Linked DNA regions of Bombyx mori. The protein of the gene in region 1 binds, or shares a complex with, the protein of each later gene. Links are inferred from orthologs where the notes say so. Each region holds a gene or a part of one and is shown on either strand. Other genes may lie near its edges.

Region 1 (11,293 bases):
CTCTCGCACTAAGATTAAGATTTTTTTTGTGGGTTTTCCAATTTTGTACCTACACAACGAAGAATAAATTCGTCAGATAGCTCAAGCGTTTCTGAAGCGATGCTCCGTCATGCAGATAGCAATTTATTTATGTTTGTTAATTCAAATTGTGCAATAACTAGATTTAGAAGGGAAATTATTTATGAAGTTAAAGGCTGTACAAGTTTAGTGGTGTTAAGTTTTCGTGGCAATAATCTCAAGATATTGTCATTTATTAATTAAATACATCATGATTTCACATTTTACAAAAGCTAAACTCGAAGTATTTTATTGTTTATTACAAAATTATCACATGTTTTATTCGGCCGTTAAATAAGCCATTGAAAGTTCTTGTCAGTTCTTACTTATTAAATTAATAAAAATTAAATGGTAATTTCCAAAAAAAAACAATTAAGGCAATCCAAGCATGACACAATAAATACATTTAATAAATTTTTCTAGACAATTACTGGTATTTTAGGCGTATTTTAAGCCCGCACGGGTAAGTAGGGGCTTGCCTATTTCTACGGCAATATGAGCTCATATCTCAAAATGGCTGGCGGCATTCACAATGTGATGCAATCGGGCTTCAATAATCACTTAACATCAGATGGGCCGTGTTCTCAACTACGCATCAATGCAATAAAAAAAGCTCATATGATTTACGTATCGACAGCATCAGAATATGAAACTTTATTAAACATTTACTAAAATACTAAATACCGATTTGTAACGTCGTACCATAATACGTTCCAGCTGATTGTTAATTAAAATACCATTAATGACTGATACGTATTTTATAAGTGAAACGCAACGTATCTATAATAGCCGGCAAACTTCTTGAGCATTTGTCGACGTAGTGGGGGTAAGTTCGCGCATGGTACACTCACGTGCAAAAACATTATTTATTCTGCGTCATAATGCTATTAAATTATTAATATCAACATAATTATTATGTATTTATTTATATATTTATTAAAACATCAACAAAAAATATAGGTTAATAATTGTAATAATTTGATCTTGGGGTAAAATAGATATTCCTTCTATTAAGTCAAAACTAGAGCTGTTGCCAGGTCTTCGTTCAGTTGAAGCGAAGCTGGTACTTGTAATTTTTTTTTCGTTATCATAATCTTGACCATCATCATCCTTCTCCTGTTTTAAAATGAAGCAATATACGTCGTACACAATTTTTCTACCCTTTCTTTTGATTACTACACCAGTTTGTCGCGGCATAGTGTATTTTTTATAAAAAATCAACAAACACTCAACATATAGAAATGGCAACAAAGTCAACAAGCAATTATAACAAATAACTTAACAATTAATAACGATAGACTTTTCACTGTACGCAAGCGTACTTTTGGGAGCAAGCGGAAAGAGGGCGCGGTGCGGGACGCAAGGTTCGACTGATCTACCAATAACGCGCTCGATACGATTTCCCCTGCCGTCGCGCCTCACCCTCACCACCAAAGTGATCTAAAATTCGGTTCTGCGCAGTCAAGGTCATTTGCTCAAGAAGTTTGCCGGTTACTATACTTAATTTAATTACTACTTAAATGACGGAGTATTGCTTGTGAAATGTCTATCCGATGATTTGCAAACGAAGTAAATTGCCCCTTCGTAATAAGGTGACATTTTACCAAACTTGTCATAACCTATGCAAGTGTAGGGTTCGCTCAAGCGGCCCGCACTAATTTGAAACCCTTTCAAGTCATTCAATCCTGATTTTGCAGGATAGCCGTCGGAGCACCATGGTTCATGAGGAACGTGGATCTCCATGATGATCTGGAGCTTGACTCCAACAATAGGTAGGTATCTTCAGTCGGCACCAGTGCCACTTTGAGAAGGCGGCGCGACACGAAAACCTTCATGTGGCCGCCGGAAATTACATACCCGATCCAATGGACCGAATGGTAAACAGTCAACGTCACCCTAATCACGTTATTACGGATCTTCCCGATCCATTAACGGTGCTTTTAGGTACCTCAAGCACCAGTCACCGTCCTCGCCGAACCCGTCGCTTGCGACGAAGGGCTCGACTAATAAATTAACCCATAGACACAGCCCACAGAGTTTCTCGCCGGATCTGCTCAGTGGGTCGCGTTTCCGATCTGGTGGTAGATTCTGGGAATTCGATTCGATTCTATCTGCATAGTTAAGAAAAAAAAGCTGTATTTTATCTGTCTCATCTTTCAAAGCGGAACGCTTGGTTGCTTCGTGGCAACCAAGTGGCAAATGTAGGCATTAAAGTGGTAACTGTCTTAATGGGCTTACAATACGTCCTACCAGTAAAACATTGTATTAAAGCGATTAGTTAAGTTGGAAATTTGAGTTCATTTCACATATTAGTGTTGCAATTCACTACCAACATTGTTTTATGAGCCAAATTCGACTGCAGCGCCATCTAGTTGCTAGTCCCGAAGATTTCTAGAGAAACAATGCGTGTCGTGAAAAATACCTAATATTTGTAATTGAACTATATGAATATAGTCTTTTACAAAAAAAAAAGTTTTGGTATTAGACGTGCTGTTCTAAATGAGTGAGCGGAGATCATTTGCGAGTGGGTGGTACTTATATGATGTGTATGCACTACGCTATCCTCAACACTAAAAGAGCCGTGAGCATTCGCATCTATAGAGCTGTAAAAATAAAATAAAACGAAAAGCACAGGACGGTGGTATCAGAAATGTACATGTTGATAATACGAGAAACTACCCGGTCCCGGAAGTCTTAGACAATGTTGCAATGTACTAATGTTAACGATCGTAAAAATTGTTCACAAACCTATGGGATCGACTTGCGGAACAGATTAAGTCACGTTGTCTTGCAGTATTTCAGGCTGAGTCCTGTGAACTCGCCCACGAGTTATAGGGAAGCCAGAATAAGCCAATGGCAGATAGGTAGACAAAAGCTAGGAGTTCGAGGACTTAACCTGAGAGAATTTGCTAGTGCTACCTCTATCAAGATCGGATCGGAATCGCGACCAAATGAGAAGGTCCGGCGAGAAACTCAGTGGGTTGTATCTGGGCTAATTCGCTCGTCGAACTCTTCGTCGTAATGATCGATTCCGACGAGGACGTTGCTTGAGGGGCCTAAAAGCACGGTGAGTGGATTCAGATGATTTAACAAGACATGTTTCGGGTGAGGACGTCTTTGCGTTGCCGTGTTATCGTGTCGGACTGCTTTGTCAAAGTAGTAGGGACCTTAAGACGTTATCAGTGTGCTTAGTGCGAGTTTTTTAACGTTCTCGATAGCGTAAAAGTGAAGCCGTGTGCAGTTGGAACAGCGCCCCTAGCGGCAAACGTACGCAAACGTTCCCGTTCCGTACAAATACGAGGTAACTTTTACGCTATCGAGAACGTTAAAAAACTCGCACTAAGCACACTGAGGTGATCACAGGCTATTACGTATGGAGGTAGAAATGTGAAAGAGATGATTCCGCGGATTGACTCACAAAACGTTAATAGAACATGTTACAATTAAATAAATAAATAGCGTGTTTTTGTACTTTTTCATAACTGTTAAAAGTTTACATACAAAGAACCAAGAGCATAATATATTATAATTTCAATATGTATAGAATGTTTTAGATACATTTTTGTCACGGTTGGATCATTATGCTTAGTAAGTTTCTTAACTTCTCGTGCCCCATACGTTTGCCGCTAGGGGCGCTGTTCCAGCTTCATACATATTTGAGTTAACTTTTACGCGGTCGAGAACTTTAGAAACTCGCACTGAGCTCACTGGTCAAGCCTCTAAGCGACTGCCGCAAATATACAAAATGACCAAATGTGTTGAAGCAACTTGAGTCACTGTTCGTTGATGATATTAAGTTAGAAACCATGCAAGAACTGAAAATTATACTATAATTTCAACATTTCAACACGTAAAAGACAAATACAAATTCCACTACAAAATATGAATCTCTTCTTCACACACTGAATGAGCCCACAAGTAAATTGAAGGTTACAAATTGCCCAGTCGATAAATATTTTGACTCAGCTTCATCAAACACGTTAAAATACATAAATAATTTAGAAAAAGTAAACTTCAAAAAAGTTGACTCAAATTTTATATTTCATACATATCTTTGACAATATGGTAGGTGAATTGTGGACGAAAGAATAAAAGGGTTTAGATTGTTTAATAAATTAAATTACAAGACCACACAGCAAAGATCACATCAGGCCTCGTTATAATAATCACACAGAAGTTCGGAATTATCATTTGCAATTTTTGCGTTCCCATACCCCGAACGTCTTACCGTACACAAAACCGTGATTATGGGTTTAAATAATGTACTACATTACGAGAACCAATACATTTAATTGGCCATGGCTGAAATAAAACAAATACATTGGCCCCCCTCCCTTCAGCCAGATGTCGCAAGTAAGCAAGCCGTGTGAAGTATCCGCACTGGATAACGAATTTGTTTTGGCGCCAAAATCACACGATCGTCCTTGCCTTGTACAAAACGAAAGTAAAACAACAGAAATAAACAGGGTTATATTAAAATCATAATATGAAAATATTCAAATATCAGCTGAAAATGCATCCAGCCTTCTTCTGTTTATTAAATATTCACTACATTACTTTATACATCACCAATTTCTTAAGTAAATTCAGTTTTTGTACAATATAAAAAGAATCTTATATTATCATCTATGTATACATACCTACACGCGAGATGTGTATAACGCGCTCGCGTAAGTTAATCTTGATCTAACCGAGCGAAAGAAAATAAACGAGAAATCGTAACAAAATATTTAGAATTATTGGTAAAATTATTACAAGTAACTACACTATATTTTATGTTCAACATTTTATGTCAATATTCAATTATTATCTATACTTAATCGAGCCTATGATATAACATTATAAATGATGAAAACATTTTTCTTCGTGATATTATTCAACAATTAATCCATTAACAACTCTCATCCATTCACTCTTGCCTATCGAAAGGATATTAAAACTAATCTCAGTAACAACATAAGGTCCGTATTAATGACAGTCTCTGATTTTTTCCCCTTTGGGTTTCCGGCCTCTTTTCTTGCCGGAAGTGACGCCGGCGAGCGCCATCGCGGCGCGCTTCGCGATACACGACTTGCAGAACCAGTCCTCCGTGGCGCCCGGCTCCTCCGTGATGCCCACGCACACCCAGTGGTACCAGCCATCGCATCCGTCGCAGCCGATCATCGGCGAACCGTTGTCCGGTCTGCCGCACGCCGGACAAACCCATATTTTGTTGCCCTGTTCATCAACATAATAAGGGGTAGGGAGGGGTTCGAGCTTAGTGTCGGGGGGCGGGGCGGGGGCGGGTGCCGGCGCCACGGCCGGTTCCTCAGACAACGTTGCGATTTCGTCTTCAAAGTGCTCGTGGCCCTTCTTCGCCAACGGCTTGAACAATATCCTTTTGTATTTCGAATGACTCGAGGGCGTGCCCTTCTCGGGCGGTGAGCTGCCCGAGGGGGGCGGCGAGGGCTGAGGCTCTCCGTCTGCGAGGTGATTGTGTTTAGAATGTTTTTGTTTGGGTGGTCTAGTAACGAGAGCCGAAATCTGAGCTAACTCAGGCGAACGACTGTGCTCCCTGGACAAAGGTTCGTCTTTTACTGGACTGTCCTCTTCTTCTTTCTTCACTACAGGTTTTATATTTAATTTGAAAGTATCGGGCGAGCTTGGTGGCATAGGTGAATTAGAATTTGAAGAACTTATTTTCAACGTCAATTTCGGAACAAGACCATCGCCAATTTTATCTTTTTTCTTCTCTTTCTTTTCTTTTTTTATTTTATCTTTTAATTCTTGTTTTTCTTCTTTATCGCGCTTTTTCTCAGACTTATCTTTGTTTTTGTCCTTTTTATCTTTCTTCTTTTTAATTTTTACACCATCTTTGTCTTTCTTTTCTTTTTTATGGGATTTATCCTTCTTTTTATCTGTGTTTTCGGTGTCTTTTTCTAGAATAGAATCCGGTGTAGCCATCCTGACGGGAGGCATTTCCCTTACCGGTTCAGATTCAGGATCAGGCTTGGAGATAGGCACACGTGGAGGTATTGGTGGCGTAGGTCCTACAGGCCTGGCTGGAGCAGACACACGAGCTTGATTGAGTGCATCCCGGGGTGGCTCATGATGTCTAATACCTTCTGATTTCGGAGGATTCAGTTCAATTGTTATGTCTGGTTGTACAAGAGGCATTTTGAACAAATTAGCCTTGTGATCCTTATGCGACTTAGACTTGTGTTTCTGTAATATATTTGGAATGGTCTGAGATTTGTGCTTATCGTGGCGGTCCTTTTCACGATTCATTGAAGACTTATGAATACCTCTGTCCTCATCATTTTCTACTGCTATTACCTCCAAACTCGGTCGACGGAGCATTGGTGGTATTTTAACGGAAGAAGATCTCGATGATTGGGCAAAATTTCCCATAGGCATCAGAGGAGAATTCAAGCCTCCAGGTAAGAAACTAGGACCAGGAATGAGACCAGGACCACTGGTTCCCAAAGCAAATGGATTGTTTAATAAATTACAGGGTGGCATACCTCTTAGTGCTGGATTGTTTGCTAGACCAGTGAAGAATTCACTTCCTGGTATCAATCCAGGGTTCGGGATGAGACCAGGGCCGGGCATAAGACCTCTTCCAGGTGGCATTGTATGAAAAAATGGAAAACCAGCTGGCATTTGTGGCAATTTTGATTCATTTTTCTGTCTACTGATTTTATGTTGTTTCATTCCAGCCAATTTCATACTTTGCTTTTCAGCTTGTGCCATTTCATAGGCTAATTGTTGTTGTTGCTTCTTCAACAATTTAGCTTCTAATTTTGCTGCTTTATCTTTCTTGTCTTTGTGTTTTTTCTCTTTTTTAACTTTAGGACTAACACTCGGTAGATCTTTGGGAAAAGGGGTTTGTAAGGACTTGTTGATTGATATATTAGGTTTAGATTCCAGTAGTTGTCTTTGCTGTGGTGTAGGGTTTCTGTCCAAAGAATCCTCATCAATATTAATCACTTCATTACTTCTTAAATCCATCACTTTAGACAAATCTACAGCACTATCGTCATTATTGTTCACAATTTGGTCTATCACTTCAGATTTCATTCTTGCATTTTCATTTGACTTATGAACTGAATTTTGATGTGATGCATTTTGCAACCTTGAAATAGTAGCATCAAGATTTACTTTATCATTTACAACCTCTGGAGTAGTCTTATCTTCTTTTGATTTGTTCGTTATTCTCTTAAATATATTAATCTTTGATTTATCAGGTTGAGAGGCCAATTTCTCATCTTCATCTAAAACTTCTCTCTTTATTTCAGTGTGAGGAATGAGAGAATTACTCATAGACTGCTGTTTAGGTGTGGTGATGGAATTAGATACTAGAGGAGATAATGAGATTGGAATTTTTCTAGGGACCGGTATTGCATCTTCAACAGAAAGCCTTCTGGATATTGGTGACGGAGGATCCAATGGTTCCTGTTTTATGACAGGTTTTACTGGCTCTGGAATAGGCACCAGTGCAGGAGGAGGTGCCATCTTTGCTCTTGAAGGAGGAGGTGGAGGGGCAGCTTCAGGCGCTGGCATAGTTATATGATTATGGTGTCTGGGCTGCACATCCTTACTTTTTACAGGATAACCAGGAGGAAATTTATTTAATTTATTACTGTCCTTATTTTTACCACTTTCACTCTTATGTTTATCTTTTCTTTTACTCTTCATAATTTTACCATTAGGTAATTTATTTTTCTTAGATTTCTTATCAACTTTTTCTAAAATTGGAGGTTTAGTTACATTTGTATGAGAATTAACTTTGTGCTTTTCAAAGTGCTTTTCTGCTATAATTGTAGGAGGACGGGCTTCGGGAAGTTTACCTTCACGGGCTGGTGACAGAAAACCAGACATGGTCATCATCACACTACTTATTTCTCTCGTTCTCTCCTCTTCCTCTAAGCGTAACCGTGGCCTTTTACTATTAGGTAAAGAAACAGGATCAATTGGTCTCTTAAAAATTTCCTTTGATTTCTCAGGACTGTCTGTGACAGATATTTCTGGACTTGTACATATGGTATTATTGCTAGTGACATTATCAATACCATTTTGATGTATTTCAATAGTGCCTGCAACAGCCGGTGTGTCTCTCTCTTTCTCTGGATACATAGGAGGCAGATGCTCATGCACGTGCATGGGCCTTGTGACAACTTCATGACTTCCTGGTTTTAAGAAGTTTAAGTTCGATTCTTTCGGTTTTGGGAATTTAACAGAGTTTACTGGAGGTGGAACAGGAGGTACACAACGCACATATTCAGCAAGCTCCGGCAAATTCACATTAAGGTCACGGAATACTAATCCTAAGTCATGTAAATTTGGTTCAGTCCTATTAAATTGTTCAGCATGCCTACTGGCTTGGATGCCAAGGGTTTTGATATATTTCTCCAGTACATGTACCAAAATGTCAAGTGGCGTTGAGTTTATGCCGTTCCATCCTATAGTTTGGCATATTTGCGCAACATTCCTCCGTAGTATCTCGCGGGCGTACGCCTCTGACATTATGACACCAACAACGTTATCTGGAACAAATGTTTATATCGGTATTATAAACATAAATCAGCATAATTCAAATGGCGTCGAAGCGAAGAAATGCTGTACAAGCATTTTCGATCACAGAGAATCATATTACAAGCCGTCAAAGTGGTAAAACAAGGAAACTCGTGATTTTTATACCTGCAAGTGTCCAGTAGTACAGAGACGTGGTTCTGAACTGCTGAAATTCTCAAGTTTTGTACATACATGTATGCTTAACTATGATTATATAAAGTCAAGGGTAATTTATAAAAACACACAAATCGATGGCAATATAAATTAACGAAGTGTTTACGTAAAAACTTCTCAGCATTCTAAAAACACAGTACCCCGTGCGCCATGATTGCATTTTGGGTTGTCAATGTCGAGTGTTGCTATTTGAAAATAAACAAATGGCGGTCTTCTTATGGCAGCGTTCAATGATACTAGTGATAGACTAAAATTGATTACAGGGAGCATTTGCTTTGCGACTTTATTCAAAGATGTTTTATTTATAGTTTCTTTTTAATTCATTTCCTTTCAATTAGTTTATTTTTGTTTAAATCAAATAAATAATTAAAAAAAAATTAAGCTACCGTAATCCTCATAATCGGTTAAGCTTGGGTGATCTTTAACACAGATATTCCAGATTTCAAACTATTCAACATGGGCGTGCCGGATAGTCTCGTGCTCATCATACGGGACTTCTTGTCAAACCGCTCTTTTCGATATCGAGTCGAGGGAACCCGCTCCTCCCCACGACCTCTCACAGCTGGAGTCCCGCAAGGCTCTGTCCTCTCACCCCTCCTATTTAGCTTATTCGTCAACGATATTCCCCGGTCGCCGCCGACCCATTTAGCTTTATTCGCCGACGACACGACTGTTTACTATTCTAGTAGAAATAAGTCCCTAATCGCAAAGAAGCTTCAGAGCGCAGCCCTAGCCCTAGTACAGTGGTTCCGAAAATGGCGCATAGACATCAACCCAGCGAAAAGTACAGCGGTGCTATTTCAGAGGGGAAGCTCCACACGGATTTCCTCCCGGATTAGGAGGAGGAATCTCACACCCCCGATTACTCTCTTTAGACAACCCATACCCTGGGCCAGGAAGGTCAAGTACCTGGGCGTTACCCTGGATGCATCGATGACATTCCGCCCGCATATAAAATCAGTCCGTGACCGTGCCGCGTTTATTCTCGGTAGACTCTACCCCATGATCTGTAAGCGGAGTAAAATGTCCCTTCGGAACAAGGTGACACTTTACAAAACTTGCATAAGGCCCGTCATGACTTACGCGAGTGTGGTGTTCGCTCACGCGGCCCGCACACACATAGACACCCTCCAATCCCTACAATCCCGCTTTTGCAGGTTAGCTGTCGGGGCTCCGTGGTTCGTGAGGAACGTTGACCTACACGACGACCTGGGCCTCGAATCAATTCGGAAATACATGAAGTCAGCGTCGGAACGATACTTCGATAAGGCTATGCGTCATGATAATCGCCTTATCGTAGCCGCCGTTGACTACTCCCCGAATCCTGATCATGCAGGAGCCAGTCACCGTCGACGCCCTAGACACGTCCTTACGGATCCATCAGATCCAATAACCTTTGCATTAGATGCCTTCAGCTCTAATACTAGGGGCAGGCTTAGGGACCCCGGTAACCGTACTCGTCGAACTCGACAAAGAGGTCGACGTGCAACCTAACCCATGCATCAGCCCGCTGAGTTTCTCGCCGGATCTTCTCAGCGGGTCGCGATTCCGATCCGGTAGTAGATTCATTCGCGAAACAATTGCTCTTGAGTTGTTAGGTCTCCTTCGGAGGCGCTCGGGCAGTTGTTAGCAAATCCCACCCCTCTTGGCTGAACCTTTGCTCGCCCACCTGTCCTGGTGAAACTGGAAAGGCCTTCGGGCCACCAGTAAACTTTCAATCATAAAAAAAAAAAAAGATATTCCAGAAAACTAATGTCTCTTCTTTTTCTTGCCCTTATTCCACATTATATGAGGTCAGCGCAGTGTGTCCTTTTATTATGCTGTATAGGGATTTGGCATGAGTTTTACGATGCTGGAAACGCTATTGTTATGTCAACGACAGCATAGTATTCCCAACATAGTCAGAAGAAGTCCGAAATTTGTCTTTTATGACACCCACGGATAGATATGGGTCGATCCAACTCTATGTCGGAAACCGATATTGAAAGATAATTTTGATTACATGCATGTTTAATGTATAGTTAATTATGGAAACATTGATGGGGATTGGTGGTGACCTTCAGACAACATCTACAACGTAAATGCCACCACCCACCTTGAGATATGAGTTCTCAGATCTCAGTATAGTAAAGTATAGTTACAACAGTTGCCACATTCTTCGAACGCCGAACCAAAACGCATTACTGCTTCACGGCAGAAATAGGCAGGGTGGTGGTACCTGCCCGTGTAGACTCACAAGGGGTCCTACCATCAGTAATTGCGCAAATTATAGTTTTGCGGGATTTGATTTTTATTACACGATGTTATTCCTTCACCGTGGAAGTCAATCGTGAAAATTTCTTATGTACGTATTTCATTAGAAAAATTGGTACACGCCTGTGGGATTCGAACATCGGTACATCGCTCAACACGAATGCACCGGACGTCTTATCCTTTAGGCCACGACGACTCAAACGATTTAAAAACGATCATGCGTTTAATGATTGCAAAAATTGTGGTCAACACGATC
Region 2 (10,696 bases), on another chromosome or scaffold:
ACATTTTAAGTCTTTTAGTAAATATAGTACACCTACAAAATAAGGACTTTTTTTGCCAGATAGGTTATTAATGTGTTAAAAATAGTAGTCATTTTTGTAAAGAATAACTGAACACAAGTAGCTAATCAGTACATGTTTGTATCTGCCACAGTTATCTGTTCAAGAAAAATTACTGTTAACAAGCCCTTGTATCAATTAAAAGGTAAATAATCCAAGGTTTCAAAATGTATTTGTTTTTGTAATATAACAAAGTCAAAAATATTGGATATGTACCCAATATGTGAATAAAAAATTGATGATACGTTTGTAAATAAAATTTTTAAATAATTTTTAATGTTATCAGCCTGTTTTTGTAATAAAGACAAAATATATATAATCAATTCACATTTTGAATACTAAAAGCCCCCATAGTGTATCGGATTTTTTTATAAATTTATGTACAACAGCTTAAGAATAGAACCTATATTCCAATTTTCTTTAGATATAAGCTGTCAACATAATAGGTATAAAATGGATGAAATTTAAAATGTTTAAAGGTAAATTTTTATTATGGCATCAAATTTTAAAGATATCTGTTGTGTCAATCGATGTAGTTATTTGTGAGGTTTTTTTTTCACTTATTAAATAATAATTTATTGATCTCTTTGTGGAAATATCCATTTGTCTCACTGCATCTAGTTTTATATGAGAAGTCTCATGAACGTCAAAGTGTGGATATGTTATCGATATTCGTATTATTGGTCTGTGTTAAAATAGAGACTTACCTACACACAGTAACAAACAGTAAATGAAGGCTTCCCATGTCATAAAGTATTAATCATAGATTGTATGTATGTAGAGCTTTAACCCACCCTGTGATTTTACTATATTTAATTTTATTCTGTAAAGTTTTTCATAATATTATACATTTTGAGGAAAATCTTGGAAATAATAAACTGTAAGAATGTATTATAAGTGTTTTATATTCCTTGTTTACTCACAAGACATAAAACAAGAAAAATTATATGATTACCTTTTCATTGCATATATTGTTTTAAATTCAACAGAAACCATAGGAATCATGATTTGCGTCCAGTTTGCGATCCAGTTTATTTTATAATAAAAAAGCTAAATCAAAAGAACGCTCTACATTTTCATTCACTAGAAGTAGTGCCTGAACCTTTAATTTTTTTCTTCTTTTTTTTGCTCTTTTTCTCTTTGCTTTTCTTTTTCTTTACTTTCCCTTCTTTTACATTTTCCTGCAAAAGAAAAACAGGCATAAATCCGAAGACAACAGTATTGTAGACAATATGGTCACCAAATGACAATATAGTCTGTCACTTTTCTGAGCCCCTCGTAAGGCATGGGAAGTGAGTTCATTCCAATATCATGGAAATTAATAACAGATGATTAGAATAACTTGCTAGATTAGAGCATGAGAAACGAAGAAAAATTACAGAAGTGTGTCTCTGTGTGTGTGGTGTGTGTGTGGTGTGTGTGTGTGTGTGTGTGTGTGTGTGTGTGTGTGCGTGTGTGCGTGTGTGTGTTTTCTTTGCATATTAGTGATGATTTATAGTATTTATTACCTTTTTCACGATTTCAATTTTTGGGGCAACTGGAGCACATCCTTCCATCCTTATTGCAGCTGTGACTTCATCAATTTTGCTCATGTCTGCATTTGGAACCTTATACTGTTCACAATGATCAACACGTAATGTACGCCCAAGAATCTATAGCAAAACAATTAATATTTTTTTACTTTTTTAATTTTTTTTATTGCCTAGATGTGTGGACGAGCTCACAGCCCACCGGGTGTTAAGTGGTTACTGGAACCCATAGACATCTACAACGTAAATGCGCCACACACCTTGAGGTATAAGTTCTAAGGTCTCAGTATAGTTACAACGGCTGGCCCACCCTTCAAACCGAAACGCATTACTGCTTCACGGCAGAAATAGGCGGGGCGGTGGTACCTACCCGTGCGGACTCACAAGAGGTCCTACCACCAGTAATTACGCAAATTATAATTTTGCAGGTTTGATTTTTATTACACGATGTTATTCCTTCACCGTGGAAGTCAATCGTAAACAATTGTTATGTACGTATTTCATTAGAAAAATTGGTACCCGCCTGCAGGATTCGAACACTGTTGCATTGCTATATACGAATGCACAGGATGTCTTATCCTTTAGGGCATGACGTCTACATAACTACAAAAATAAAATGCATATGATGCACCATAATAATAAACTGTTTTTCACTTTCTTTTTTAGTAGTATTCTCTCTTTTAATATTTACCTTAATACTATTCAGATTGTCAACTGCTAAAATTGTTGATCTCTGATCCTCATAGCACAAAAATGCAAATCCTTTTGGTTTCCCAGTTGTTTTATCTCTTACCATGTTTATATTTACAATTTCACCATACCTTTCATAAAATAAAAAATTGATCATTACTTAGTAATAGCTGTTGGTAGAATGATTATTACACTCAGATCTAGGTCAGTGACTGACAAATGTCCATTGGCTTCATGCAATATCTGAATATCTATATATCTAAGAAACATAATTAACTAGCTCCCTATAAAAAATATATATTTTATTTCAGCAAGTAATAATGAATGTGAAAAACCTTACTGAGAAAATACACATATAACATCTCCTTCAGTCAAATCATATGGAAGTCCACCAACAAATATCCATGCACTGTCCTTATATTGATCATGCCAAGAAGTTTTTGAGCTGCTTCCTAATTCATGTTCACTAAGCTTTAAAACATTCTTCACATTTCTGTAAAAAATTAAACACTCAATGGAATATGGCCAATTTTTTTATATATTATTTGCTGATTAACAAATGAAAGTTTTTTTTATTGCCTTTGTAGACCGACAGCATATAACCCATCTGATGGCAAGTGGTTACCATTGCTCATGGACATCAGCATAGCTAGCCCAACTGGTGTTAAGTTGTTGTCTCATTGTGATGAGAACAGTGAGTCGACTATCTCAATCATGGCTTCAGTTTTTAGTAAAACAACTGATGTACCCTTTCAACTAGAGCTAGCTTCGCAGTAAAAATACCCATGGTTGTGGAACCTACATGTACAGTCTGACAAAACCACACCTCAAGTTTGTGGATATGATTTTCATTACATGATGTTATTCCTTCATTGTGAAAAACATTCATGAATATGTGTTAATATGGATTTCCTTAGAAAAATTTGAAAATTCCTGCAAGGTTTGAAAATTCATATAATAATATGTAGTTCAATAGAAGTACACTAGGTGTCTGATCCATTAGATTATAATGAGGACTGAATAAAATGACAACAGCAAAAAGTTTCGTTTGTTTTTCCTCACATCACTCATCTTCATAATATCACTTGTGTTCAATTTCAAACGGAACCCCACATTTTAAACATGGTGCAGTAAATTAATGAAACTAGTAAAATGTCTTACTCACGTCATTGGATTCATTATGACCGGCTTAACTCACGGCTCACGGTTTACGAGTTAAAATTGTTTAAAGTTTCCATAAATATTAGAAAAATCGTCAAGGTAGACGTCACAATGGGGTTGGCAACTGTCAAAGTGGCGCTGGTGTGCATTGTTCCCATAACATTCAATATTTGTATTGGAATTTTTGATTAAAAATTATTTTAAGCACAATGACGCGTTGTTTTGTACCAATATGCTCAGAAATTGGAGTACATCAATTCCCGAAGGACAAGAAAATTGGAAGACTGTGGTTAAAGGCCATTTGACGCGAAAAAAGTATTCATACAGAAAGTTCGAGGTTATGTCGTAAACACTTTGTGGAATCTGACTATGAAAACATTAGTAAATACACAGGTATGCTTCTTTCTGTCAAATATATATAATGCATGACTAGGTGTAGCACACATCATTGTTCTCTTATTAAAAAAATCCAATAATAATAAGTAGATTCATGCTGTAAGGAACCTTATAACAAACACAAAATCAGACTGGAGGAAACACATTCCTCATGAGCTGTTGTTCATTATCAGCTGTTACTATTGAAAGTTCTATCTAAATCGCTGCATCCATTGCAATAACAAATATTTTGAAACTATGGTCAGCTTTCCTTGTGATAGTATATTTAAATGTTATTCTTTGTGTTGCAGGTGTCAAACATTAACATAAATATCTGAAGAAAGGTGCTGTACCATCTATATTTTCATGGAATATGAAACCAGTTTCTGAAGAAACAAAAAGTAGAGAAGTTACTTATGTAACTTTAGAGAAGGAATTGTCAATAAAAATAATTAAAAATATTCCTGATTTTTTATTTCGACAAGTGTGTATAGTTATAATACAGATATTTTTTATACAATGCTTCTTTGAAAATATTTTCATAAAAGATATCTAATTTATTTAACATATTATTTATAAAATTATTGTCTTTTTCAACATAAATCACTTTGATGTCCTTGTAGGTGTAAATGACCAAGTTGCAGTATGTTTTGCCTGAGCAGTATAACTGTCCTTGGATTTGATAATAGTATGGGCAGGATTTTTTAGAGACAATATCCCGTTACATCGTTCTAAGTAAGGCACCGTTGATATATTTATTTCATGTTTTCTGCTAGCGTATGGACATTTCACTTCAATTATAGCTTCTTCGCCCAACACACCATCAGGAGATGCAGCAAGATATGGGCGCTCTTGGCTATTGAAAATGCCACATGGCTCCACTAGCAAATCATATATATTAGCATATTTTGCTAGAGCATTTTTTTCATTTTGTTTCATGACTTAAAGGTCTCAGTTACCAGGTCATAAAATCCCTTAAAAAAACTCTATGTCAATGTCATTCTCCATAAAATAAAAGATGTTCATTGTTTTACTTTAACTCGTTTGTTTTAAAATCCACAACAAAACTACTACCACTACTGACTATTTATTTATGTAAAATTTCTACAAATAAACGTTTTAAGTTTTACAAAAAAACTTTAGTAAATCAATATCATGGCCACTCCCACTCCTGATTCGCAAGATAACTTTGACCAGGTAAAACTATTGATTTTCCGTTGCTTGTTTATTTTTTTGTTCTTTTGTGTACATAAAAGTATTGCTTTGTAGTTTGATGAAGAAGAAGAGCAACAGTTAGGTGGAACTACATCTGGTCGTAAAAGACTTTTTAGTAAGGAATTGAGATGTATGATGTATGGATTTGGTGATGATCAAAACCCGTATACTGAAAGTGTCGATTTTTTAGAAGACTTAGTTATTGAATTTATAACAGAAACAACACATAGGTAAGATAAAAAAAAAACTTTTTTGTGTCTTGAGAAAACTTCAATATTTTTATTCTTCTTTATATTCATGTTTGTGTTTCACTCCGTATACCACATCACACCAGGTGGACTCATGAACTCATGCAATCCTAGATTTAAATAGTACAATACTAAAAATATATATAACAGGGCAATGGAAGTTGGTAGAACAGGAAGAGTCCAAGTAGAAGACATAATTTTCTTAGTTCGTAAAGATGCACGAAAGTATGCACGTGTTAAAGACCTTCTTACAATGAATGAGGAACTTAAGAAAGCTAGAAAAGCTTTTGATGAAGTAAAATATGTTGGTGAGTTGTACATTTGATTGTAAAATTTGAGTGAATTTATTCCCATTAAAAAATCCAATTCTATATTACTATCATTGTAGTGTTTCAGTTTGAGATGTTTCATCTAAAGTGTGATTATTAATGTTTGTATTGAAATGTTTTGAAATTATAGAGGACCAACAGTAACCATACTGTGGCCATACAACCGACGCCATGCTTCTAGACTGATTGATGCAAGTAACATATATTTAATTATAACACTGCTTTTGTGTTTGCACATTCACAACAACACTAATGTCATGAATGGTTGTAAATTTAATAAGATCCTGAATGTAGATGTATCTGTAATTTGTTTTGATTACTTTAAATGTATGGTAAATTATACTATATAATATAATATTTATTTACTATCAAATATATAATATTTAGTACCTACTTTTTTAAATTTTATTGTGATCACCAGTGTATTATAAACAATAAGGTTATCATTATAGTAATAGAGTTAGAAGACCTTGTGCAAACGATATTATAGAATGTTCTGTTAAGTAGTATTTGCCCAAATTGTAGCATGTGAATCTGATTGTGAAAACTAAATTCTATTTTTCTTAATGAATATGCATTTTTATTAAAAAAAAATCTCACAAATGAATCATGAAAGTATTTTCTATTACTAGCCACAATTTTTCTCATCTTTGTGGCAAAGTTCAAATACCTCCTTGGTAAATAGAAGTGTCATTTTTGAGATTATCTATGAATGAAACTAAGCTATTGTTTGATATCTGTATATGAATGGAACAACCAGCCAAGTAGATACCATCAAATGGAACAAAGAATAATCGAACAGCAAAATATTTGGGACTGTGGAGCTTAATATTATCATGCAGGAGCATCACTTTCTTGTGTCTCTGCTCATTTTGTGGGCATTTTTCATGCAGTGTAAGCATTGCATTAAGCTTCACTGCATTAATTATATTCTATATCATTCTTCAGTGGAGGTTTTGTTCAGCTCCACAGCTCTTAATATATAATGCCAACCTGATTGCACCAAATACACAGTATAACCTTCGTAAGCTGAATATTTGGCAGTGGCAATGATGTAGAAACATTAACGGGGAGTCTATCATTAGTCCTTTTCCTCCCCGTGTGTTTCATCATTGCAAAACCCTTTCTTTTGTACTGTTGGAGTAGTCGTTCACAGATGAAAAGACAATGTTCAACATCATTTGGCTTCACTTCTAAAGGGAATCAAGTGTTACCCACTAGTGGATATGCCCAATCTTGGCTTGCAACCCTTAATATCGAAACAAGCTGATCTTATGTTTGATATGAATCCTCATCGAACAATAGGTTTTCATCTTTCGCATCTGTGGAGCGACGGAACCAATCAATGCCATGTTGCTTCATTCACATTTTCTCAATGCACTTGAGCTGCTGTTTTCTTTGAATGAAAGCAATTCTTCCTGCAAATGATGCTTCATTGGCACAAAATCAGACCATAACTTATTGCTGCAATTTGGTAGGTAAGCTCCTGGGGATCAACCTACTCCTGACTGATCTCCAAATCTTGCCCCTCCTGCCTAAGTCCAACCTGGCCTGCCTTATCTTGGTGAAGCTGGAAGACATCCATGCAATGCCGCTATCAAAAAAAAAATTGCAAATAATCTGTTTAACAATAATAATTAATTTCACGTATGTTTTCACGTTTAGAAATTCATATTGCATAAGCATTTTTATTGTTTATTGTTAATTTATGTGTTACTTTTGCACTTTGGTATTTGAAAGTTGTGTTTTGGCAAGAGATAGCAGCTTGAACAGTTAGCATGTTAGGATATGAGAATTTGTGTACTAATGAAATGAATGTCTAATATTTACATCTTGTACTACTTTATAGGTACTCTAACCCTAGATATATCACATAAAACTGTTTGGCTTGATAAAGAAATTAAAGCACTACTATCTGTAGAATGTTTTTTAAGAGAAAACAACAGGATTAGCAATTGTAGCATAATAGTATTTGTGTTGCTAATGGGAAATATATGTGTTGTGTTCAAAATTGTATGTTAAATAATTGCAAATTTGTTTCCACCAACAAGGTTTGTTGGTGGGGGAGTAATTTATTGTTAATAAATTGAGTAATAGGCTAATTATGCATTTAAAATTTCAGAATGAATACCAAAAACATAATTGGACCTGATAAAAGTAATACCAATTTGGGACTTTGGAGAGCAGTGAAATGAAAAATGAATTAACTATTTGATATTATGAATTTATTAAGCTAGTAAGGTAATAAGTAATAAAACTTACTGACAAATATCCTTGTTTGTTTTTCTTCAGAGTAGTATTAGAATATTTAGTAATGTTTGTTAAATATAATAATAAAATAAAAAAGATTGTGTTTTTTGCTCTATGACTTATCTAAAAAAAAATATTTATTTTTTAGACAATTTTTTTTATGATACAGCATACAAAAATACATACAACCCTAAATTTTCACCCCTCTACGATCAACCCTTATTTTTTATTTGTTAATACTGTTCGGGAAAACTTACTTTTGGACCAGATGACGTGTAAGACCTTGATTAGGCCCTGATTAAAAAAAGGAACTAATATATATTATCATGTACAGGGACTGTTCTAAGTTCTTTAACAAAAAAATTCAAATTGAAAGAAAATCATACTTGATTAATATGTAAACTTTATTTGTGCGCAAATACAGTAAACACTAAATAAACAATACTAGAAATTAAAGTTAGTGGCAAAGAAAATTTAAAAAATTAAATTTTCTGTATTAAATTTATGCAATATATTATTATTCTAATGATTAAATAAAATAACAATTTTACATACATCCTTTTAGGTTAATATTTGTCTATAATATGTTGGTAGGTACAATAATAACTTGATATTATATGAAGTTTTTTTTGTCAACAATCTATAAACATATTAATTTTAAAAATACAATGTTCCACCAAGTAGGTTGTAATAAATATTTTAACAATGTTTCACAATAGAGGCGACTAGACTTGATGTTCAATAAAACATCAAAAGTCCATACTTTGGTTTTTTTCATAACAGATTTTAAACATTTCATATTATAAATAGGCCGTCTATGGCAGTTAGTACAATATAAATAGGTTAGTTCTAAATTTATTAACCTAAGATACTTTCTAAGCTCGGGCTGATAAATTATTGTTTAAATATCATTAAATGGAATGACATTGCAATCTTAATTTGTAAAAGTTACATAATATCAATTTCATCGTGAACTTTCTTTGCCGATCTAAAGAAATTAGAACAGGAAGACATTACTTTTGAGCGTAAAATTAGTTGAATGGATTGGAACAGCAATCTGTTGGTAAATCACCAGTATTTTTCTCTGTTTCTTTTACAAAAAAATCTCAACAAGTCTGCCTATAATCTGCATGTAAATATTATAGTAAACATGTACATCTAGTAAATATATTTTATCTATGACATCAGGATATATATTTTAGCTTATTATTATCACTTGATGTGATTCATCTTATGGCAGACATCCAAGGCAACTATAGTTTCTCCATACTTGTACTTCCATATATGTTTTAAATTAATTATTTTTATCAACTTATCATATCAATGTCAAGTTTCAGTGCTATAGTGTGCTGTGCTATAAAGCATTCACGTAAATATATTGACCACACAATACAATTGTAATTAAGAACCTTCAATTATTAAACCCAACTGAAACTCCCTTGGCAGTGATCTATCATCTGTTGAAACTACCCGTGCGCCACCTGTTGTACCCTGATGGTACTATAACAAATCTCTGAACTACCTATCATATATTGTAACTATACTGAGACCTTAGAACTTATATCTCAAGGTGGGTGGCGCATTTACGTTGTAGATGTCTATGGGTTCCAGTAACCACTTAACATCAGGTGGGCTGTGAGCTCGTCCACTCGTATATGCAATAAAAAAAAAAATATATATTCAATTTCACTTAAAATCACATCAACAATTTAGAAATGCCTAGAGAACAAATTTACAAAGAAACATTTGTTGTTATAGAGGTGGCTTTAGTAAATCTGTATCAAGCACATTTTTTTGTTATCTGTGTTCTAAAATATTTAACATAAGACTGAAAATTGTAAATAAATAATTGTTGAAGGTATGTATTTAATAACGAGTTAATTTTAAATAAGTTTAAGATTTCTTTCATCTATATCTTGAGAATAACTTTGAACACGTTATTTAGAATATAGCGTAAGATATTGTGTGGTAATTCATTTTGTGATTTCTAGTCGTTTGATAAGAAAATTATTCAGAAGGAGGTGGGTCTATTGCGCAGATTATGGCTTTCATGACTGCAGCAGCGCATAGTGCAGCGTGGGGCTGCCAGTCCTTCCCACGGGTGCCGTCGCGATAGTCCGATATACCTGAAATACATAAATATCAATTAATTTAAATTGCAATTATAGTAATCCGTTTCAGTCAATTATGACCAAGGCCTTCTAGAATGGAACGCCACAAGACGTCATTGACGTATTGTCTATACTAATATTTTAAAGCTGAAGAGTTTGTTTGATTGAACGCGCTAATCTCAGGAACTACTGGTCCGATTTGAAAAATTCTTTCAGTGTTACATAGCTCATTTATTCAGGAAGGCTATAGGCTAACGGTAAGACAATACAAGTGGAGTACCAATAAAGAATGTTTCAAAATAGGGGTTTAAATAGCTCCTTAATATTCTATAATTCAAAAATATTTTCACTTTTTACGTAAATGAAGTGGGAGGTAAAATTTAGCGTTATGCCAAAGTAACTATTCCACGCGAACGAAGTCGCGGGCAAAAGCTAGTATTTAATAAAGTTTAGTGTATTAATCATAAATAAACAACGTCTTTTAAATTTATTACGTACCAATTTATCTCTTAACTGTATCAGATATACAAACTTATTTTCAAGAAACAAATAGATGTAACGGAAGATATCAATGTGCTTAGTACGAGTTTTTTAATGTTATCGATAGCGTAAAAGTTAACTCAAATTTTATGGAGTTGGAACGTTTACCTACGTTTGCCACTAGGGGCGCTGTCGCTATCGAGAACGTTAAAAACTTGCACTGAGCGCACTGATTGGTGCTGAATAATGAG

The links.
Region 2: transcription initiation factor TFIID subunit 3 (region 1) and Taf13 share a complex: the UniProt entries of both Homo sapiens proteins name them as parts of the TFIID basal transcription factor complex. The link is inferred for Bombyx mori from reciprocal best matches to the Homo sapiens genes TAF3 and TAF13.

Annotation. Positions count from the first base shown.
Region 1 is NC_085113.1:3,411,024-3,422,316, forward strand, and holds transcription initiation factor TFIID subunit 3, read right to left. Parts: upstream 9,023-11,293; 5' UTR 8,737-9,022; intron 8,583-8,736; 5' UTR 8,563-8,582; coding exon 5,026-8,562; 3' UTR 4,081-5,025; downstream 1-4,080. UniProt on the Homo sapiens protein: The TFIID basal transcription factor complex plays a major role in the initiation of RNA polymerase II (Pol II)-dependent transcription.
Region 2 is NC_085115.1:8,089,710-8,100,405, forward strand, and holds Taf13 (TBP-associated factor 13), read left to right. Parts: upstream 1-4,839; 5' UTR 4,840-4,967; coding exon 4,968-5,009; intron 5,010-5,081; coding exon 5,082-5,257; intron 5,258-5,425; coding exon 5,426-5,583; coding exon of another isoform or gene 5,584-5,600; exon of another isoform or gene 5,601-5,734; coding exon 5,735-5,748; 3' UTR 5,749-5,795; exon of another isoform or gene 5,796-7,726; coding exon of another isoform or gene 7,727-7,731; 3' UTR 7,732-7,875; downstream 7,876-10,696. Other genes in the region: uncharacterized protein LOC101745370, read right to left, coding at 9,862-9,980. UniProt on the Homo sapiens protein: The TFIID basal transcription factor complex plays a major role in the initiation of RNA polymerase II (Pol II)-dependent transcription.